Arabidopsis thaliana: one gene and its partner. The protein of the gene in region 1 interacts with the protein of each later gene in a pairwise test. Each region holds a gene or a part of one and is shown in the gene's direction. Other genes may lie near its edges.

Region 1 (3,600 bases):
CGAATGTTGGTTATTTCAAGCCTAAGGAGGAACGACTTGGGAAATAAGAAGCGACTAATAATGTACTTCTCTACTGGTATATGGAAATTACAAAGTTTTCGAAAACTACTCCAAAAAGTGTTCCACATCGATTATATATGATATCATGATTATATATAATCAAATAAATCCACAAAAAGAGTGTTTGGTATTTTTATATAACACGTTCTAGCCAAAAGAAATGAAGATAAACTATACAAGAAAGTGTTGCTAGATAGATCGAGATGAGGATATTGATCATTATTGACTGATGATGATAGCGAAAAGGTAAATTAAACAAACACATAGAAAAGAATAAGAAAATGGTATAGATAATAGAATCATGAATTACTTTTACAGCTTGATCATTTTTAAAATAAAATATACAATCAACATTAATCTGTTATTCACCAAAAAATAAAAGATCCAAAACCTAAAACTTTCTTTCGATCTCTCCCTTAAAGTTTTCAGTTCGCACGACGCTAAAAGGATTGTCAGTCCTTTTTCTCTGCTCAAGCACTCGTAGATTTTTAATTACATATCCCTTTTCAGTATTCATCAAGTGCATAATCATATAGTCTATGATTTTTATCAAGTATTATATCTATTTTCTAGGGTTTCAAAAAAAGATGCTCTTCGATTGCAGAAACTATTATGCACACCAACCTCATTTAAATAAATATATAATTCAATCGTCTAGATTATTTTCTATATTTTAATACAAATCATTCGGTTAGCTTTAGGTTAATGAATCAGTGATCTCACTTTTCTCTTTGCGCGTGTGACATTATTTTTGACCATGAAAAATTAAATAATTTTGGATTAAGAAATTATTAAATAATCCGGTTTAGGAGATGTTTTAAGTTTAGATTCGGGAGTGTTGTAAACTCTAACGTTTAGTTTCGGTGACAACTTTTAAATTCAATTTTGATAGTCGTGTATCTATTATCCAACAAAATCTCACTTAGAGATATCAGATATATCGCAAAATTAATCGAGATCAACTTCAATAGTTTCATCTTCTACGAAAGTAAAGTTGTCGCCGCCGGCGTCTTCAATTTAACGTGTCGATAACGTTCCATATTCGAGTTTGCATATGCATGTCACTGGAAATAATAGTTAAATCATCTAAATCGCATCCATTAATGATTTGATCATCATAAAATTTGGTAAAAAAATTACCTAACTCAAAAGTAAAATATAAAAATTAATCGTTTGAGTAGTTAATTAGTTTACCGGTATACTAGTTAAAAGTTTTTTTCCTTTGACGGCGCTCATATATATGTTTTAAAGTATATCAAAATAGGGATTTAATTCTTAAAGTTACACTAATCCTAATTCTTAAAGTTAACCATCCATACCAATTTACAGAAGTACAGAACTAGTGCTTGATACAGAGGAACAATTGATCTCATCGAAAGTTGGGACCTTTTTAAAAATAATACTATTATATATATATAATAAATATACAAATATATTTAATATTTATTCTATATATAAATATGTGCATAATAACAAATCTGAGTATGAATAGTAGGAGGGGTGTATAGGGCTTTCAAGTCTTTTCTTACAGAAACTATCTATAACTCTAGCAGAGAGCTCATTATAGAACAGAACAGAAACAGAGCTTTCTAAGTCTACAGCACAGAAATAAACCTCATTTACAGACTGTTTTACTTTCTTTCCTTTTTGAGCATTTCTTCTTTCTGTTTCTTTCCTCTGTTTTCTCTTTCTTTCCCTTTTTGGGTGTCATCTCTTTAAGACAGAAGAAACGTTTCTCAGAGTTTCCTGTGAACTCATCTGTTTGTTCTCTTCTTCCGGTTTCACTTTTTCATGTCCTGCCGTTATTACAACGAGGTTGGTTTAAAGATCAGCTTTTATCATTTTTCCCTGCATGTAACAAGAAATATTTAGGTTTCATGTCTGTTTACAAATATGCTCTGTTTCTAAGTATGCCTCTCACATTTGTCTTTGTTTTGGGTGTTTTTAGGATTGTGTTTGATCCGATGGAAGGATTGGAATCTGTGTACGCTCAAGCTATGTATGGAATGACACGAGAGAGCAAAATCATGGAGCATCAAGGATCAGATTTGATTTGGGGAGGAAATGAGCTAATGGCTCGAGAACTCTGTTCTTCTTCTTCTTATCACCACCAACTCATTAATCCGAATCTTAGCAGCTGTTTCATGTCTGATCTTGGAGTCTTAGGTGAGATTCAACAGCAGCAACATGTTGGCAACAGAGCTAGCTCGATAGATCCATCATCACTCGATTGTTTGTTATCTGCGACGTCGAATAGCAACAACACCTCGACGGAGGACGATGAAGGAATATCTGTGCTTTTCTCAGATTGTCAGACTCTTTGGAGCTTTGGTGGAGTCTCATCTGCAGAGTCTGAGAACAGAGAGATCACTACTGAGACGACAACAACGATAAAGCCTAAGCCTTTGAAGAGAAACAGAGGAGGAGATGGAGGAACTACTGAGACTACAACAACAACAACAAAACCTAAGTCTTTGAAGAGAAACAGAGGAGACGAGACAGGAAGTCACTTTAGTCTTGTTCATCCTCAAGATGATTCGGAGAAAGGAGGTTTCAAGCTTATATACGATGAGAATCAATCGAAATCAAAGAAACCAAGAACAGAGAAAGAACGAGGCGGTTCTTCGAACATTAGTTTCCAACATTCAACTTGTTTGTCTGACAATGTCGAGCCCGATGCTGAGGCGATTGCACAAATGAAGGAGATGATATACAGAGCGGCTGCATTTAGACCGGTGAATTTCGGGTTAGAGATTGTGGAGAAGCCTAAGAGGAAGAACGTCAAGATATCGACGGATCCTCAAACGGTTGCAGCGAGACAGAGAAGGGAGAGGATAAGTGAGAAGATTAGGGTTTTACAAACATTGGTTCCAGGTGGGACGAAGATGGATACTGCATCAATGCTTGATGAAGCTGCTAATTATCTCAAGTTCCTTAGAGCACAAGTAAAAGCTTTAGAAAACTTGAGACCCAAGCTTGACCAAACCAATCTCTCTTTCTCTTCTGCTCCTACATCGTTTCCATTATTCCACCCATCTTTTCTTCCATTGCAAAATCCTAATCAAATCCATCATCCAGAGTGTTGACAGATTATAAACTTTTGAGTTTCATCATCATCAACAGAATCATGGCGTCTTGATTGTTTTAGCAGTTCTCAAGAAAGGCAACTTCTGTGACAAGGGTGGTGTCGGGCAGTGTTGTTTACACTTTCCAGTCTTTGTTTTGCATTTCTTTTTATATAAAGTTTGTATTTTATATAGAATCTGTGGAATTCGAGGGTTGAAATATTGTGAAAAACAGAGCCGCAAGAGGTTAATTACAGTCTCTGCAATATTTTCAACCTTTTATTACTTTATTAGAGTAAAGATAGCGTAAGATAATTGCAATTATGAAGCGATGATTATCAACAAAAGTGTTTAGAAAGTGCCTCCATCTCTCTCTACTTAAAAAAGTTTAGCTTTACTTGAAGAACTCTTTTGGAGTACTAAAATATAAAATTAATATTCATCCTCTTTTTTTGGTACTCAATAAACTCTGTCT
Region 2 (3,839 bases), on another chromosome or scaffold:
ATGTAATTCAAATAAAGTATACAATTTAGTTTATACACAATATTAATGTCCGTGCTATACAGCACGGGTTATGATCTAGTAATGATGTAATACACAACCTTATGTGGGAAACCAACAACAAGTAAACTATATATCAATTCAAATGACAGATTCACTGCTACACCACAGTTAAAAACAATCAATCATTTCTCATCGAAATAAATCTGCCATCAAATAATTCCAATGAGTTTTTTTTTTTTTGGATAAAATTCCAAAGAGGTTACTAGTGTGCATAACTCCACGTGGTAAGTAAACCCATAGTGGATGAATGTTATGTCTGCAATTGATAATATGTCAATTTTGGGTTAATTAGTTTTTAGTAATTTTTTACCAATAAAATTATTCCACTTTTAGAAAATAATCACTGCAGATTTGTAACTTTCGTTCACTTTGAAAACTTTTATTGAATTGAATAAATTTAGCTAATCATGTTAACTATTAGATTATAATAAGGCCCAAAAACACTTAGATGAACCCGGTTAGTGGTTAATACTTTTACTATATGATACTTAATTACTTACCGATAGCATTGACAGATTAAAAAATACACAAAAGCTTTGTCAAACAAAGAGATTTGAAAGACGAATCAAATCTCTCTACATACAGGGAAAATTATGAATAGCTACATGTCACCATCTGTTTAAAGTAAGATCCAATGTTCTCATCTGTATCTTTTGACTATGATTGATGACTATGTGACCTATATCATATAAATACAACGTGGTAAATTGTTATACTCATTAAGCTACCATAGTCCATAATACACTTTAATTTCCCAATTCACGATTTCACATTACTCACTAATCTAACATTTTATGATCAATCTATTGAGTATTGAGGATTGATGAAACAAAGAACGAAGGTATACTTAAATGGAGATGTCATATAACTCAGAAAGAACTTCACATATACATTTATTAAAGGAAAATTAGTTTTCTTATGAAAATAATTAGCCATTAATTAGAAACTGAAAACTCTTAATTAGCTTTTTCCCATTTTTGTGTCGGCCATATGTAACGTTGGACCCATCAACTAGGTCACAATTGGCATACGACAAATATACATAACTTTAAACCATTAGATCTTTTCTCTTTCATTACAAGCTAAAGTAATTCAAATTTAGCTAAATAAATTTAAACTAAAACTTTGGAAATGTGGTTTAGATTGTTATCAAAAGCTTAAGTGGGTTTGATCTTGCCGATGTGGCTTCCAAAAGAAAAGTATTAATTGGTTGAAGAAAGTGACTTTTGTCATGCAACCTAGTTGTATGTCATGATGTGAAATTAAGTGGGAAACCAAAATTCATATTGACAAATCCACTAAACTCTTTAGATGATAAAGTAGAAGAGCGTGTGGAAGTTTCAAATATCATTTCCTTTAAGATTACACAACAAGAGAAAGGTTGATCCATCATAAAGACGAAATATTCTTTAAGTCATATACATGGTCTACAATTTCTCACTAAGATACAAAGTAAAATCGATAAATATAATAATGAACGTACGAGTGGTTTCCAAGTTGTTCTAACCAGGTGCTTTGTCAAGATCATCGATCTATATTCTTACCCGAAATACTTACTTAACTATTATTACAAAGTTCGAATAACCAGTTCTTTTACTTTGTGATTAGTTTGAGCTTTGGTTTGACTCAATAGAAGACAAAAGAAAGAATAGATGAAGGAGAGGACCACACGAGAAGCCAAAGGAGACAGAAATGGTCACTTACCTCGTGGAGTTATACAAAAGTAGACATAAACAGACCTGAACAAATTTGGATGGTCCATGAACAGTACTCTTCCTTTTCAATTTTTATTGTCATCTTTCTCTTCTGTCATTTCATCATGATGTACTTACTATTTTGAGAAACTGCTTCGTTTTCCATTGTCTTTTCGATCCCTTAACTTCTTTTAGAAAATGTTCATACTTAAAATATTAAAGGATTCCTTAACATGCACTACAAAAAAAAAATTATTATGGATTGTGGATTACCAATGGTATAGTACTCATTTGGTTTACTTAGATATTTGGTCATTCATAAACTGAAAATCTAGAAACCCAAATAAATCTGAACCGGAATCAAAGCGAAATTTAAATTCTACACACTTAATGTATTTGTTGGACTATTGAAGGAGGAAGCAGCCAAAAAGGGTAAGAGTCATATATATAGATAGAGGTATTTAGATGGTGGAGTTCCAATCAACTAGCTTTAAAGTGTTTTGTGAGAAGGGTGTGACAGCAAACCAAACCTACCTATCGCTCTCATCATAGTACTTTGGTCCACTTATTACAAAACCCTAAGAAAATGTTCTAGTGTAGGGTCTTTGTTTCCTTTGTCTATTCCTTTCTAATACCATCTACTTCTGCTCCCATTCACTGATATAAACCTCTTCTCATAGCTATTATTGATAGAAAGAGACAGAGAAAGAGAAAGAAAAAAATCATCTCCTGAAAAAATCTATCCCTTTTTAGCTCTCATGGACGCTTCAATAGTTTCCTCATCCACTGCTTTTCCATATCAAGATTCTCTAAACCAGAGCATCGAAGACGAAGAAAGAGACGTTCATAATTCTAGTCACGAACTCAATCTCATCGACTGCATAGACGACACAACGAGTATCGTTAACGAATCTACAACATCCACAGAACAAAAGCTTTTCTCATGCAACTATTGTCAAAGAACTTTCTATAGCTCACAAGCACTTGGTGGTCACCAAAACGCACACAAGAGAGAGAGAACGTTGGCGAAGAGAGGACAACGTATGGCAGCGTCAGCCTCAGCTTTTGGACATCCTTACGGTTTCTCTCCACTTCCTTTCCACGGACAGTACAACAACCATAGGTCTTTAGGGATCCAAGCGCATTCGATAAGCCACAAGCTAAGTTCTTATAACGGGTTTGGTGGTCACTATGGTCAGATCAACTGGTCAAGACTTCCATTTGATCAACAACCAGCCATAGGTAAATTTCCCTCAATGGATAATTTTCATCATCATCATCATCAGATGATGATGATGGCTCCTTCAGTAAATTCACGGTCCAATAACATCGATAGCCCAAGCAACACAGGACGGGTTCTAGAAGGGTCACCGACTCTTGAACAATGGCACGGAGACAAAGGATTGTTGTTAAGTACAAGTCATCATGAAGAGCAGCAGAAACTTGACTTGTCCCTCAAGCTTTGAGATTCTTTTTCTTGATTCTTGAATTTAGTGTCTTTTTACTGTTTTTTCATGTGATTGTTAGTACTATTTTGTGTATATTTTTTTCTAGTAAAGATAATCTAATGTACATCTTTTTCACATATCTACTTTAGTCTGAGATTTGTAAACTATTAACTATACATTAATGGATTTCAAGTAGACATCCAACAACCGTATAAAGTATAGAGTAAAGGAAAAAAGAGAAGAAAAGTGAATATTGAGATCTGTGGGAAGATTTGATTTCAGAGTCACAAGAAAAAGGAATTAATATTATAATTCAAAGTTAGGTTACCTAAAAGTTAGAACAATCATTCTATTTGTTTAAAAGTTGCTAATAAGACATTTAAACAGAACAAAACAGATAGAAATAAACTATGAAGACAGTTGCTGTGTAGGATGATTGTGACACTAAAAGCAAAAGAGTACTAGAAGAAAAATTAAACACAATATCAAATACAATTCTTTGGTAGTATATACCAAAATACATGTAACGTTAAATAAACTAATAAAGCATCCAATGGGGTTCTCTTTGTTAGAGATTATTAGAAGGGCATCACATTGCTCCATATGTAAGAAAACATTAAAAGACAAAACTTGTCAT

The links.
Region 2: the proteins of AT3G21330 (region 1) and ZFP3 interact in a two-hybrid assay, tested with the Arabidopsis thaliana proteins (one large-scale study listed by BioGRID).

Annotation. Positions count from the first base shown.
Region 1 is NC_003074.8:7,505,696-7,509,295, forward strand, and holds AT3G21330 (basic helix-loop-helix (bHLH) DNA-binding superfamily protein), read left to right. Parts: upstream 1-1,544; 5' UTR 1,545-1,875; intron 1,876-2,008; 5' UTR 2,009-2,024; coding exon 2,025-3,146; 3' UTR 3,147-3,491; downstream 3,492-3,600.
Region 2 is NC_003076.8:8,685,012-8,688,850, forward strand, and holds ZFP3 (zinc finger protein 3), read left to right. Parts: upstream 1-2,176; 5' UTR 2,177-2,512; coding exon 2,513-3,220; 3' UTR 3,221-3,404; downstream 3,405-3,839. UniProt on the Arabidopsis thaliana protein: Acts as a negative regulator of abscisic acid (ABA) signaling during germination and early seedling development. Involved in the regulation of vegetative development and fertility. Modulates red light signaling in seedling photomorphogenesis.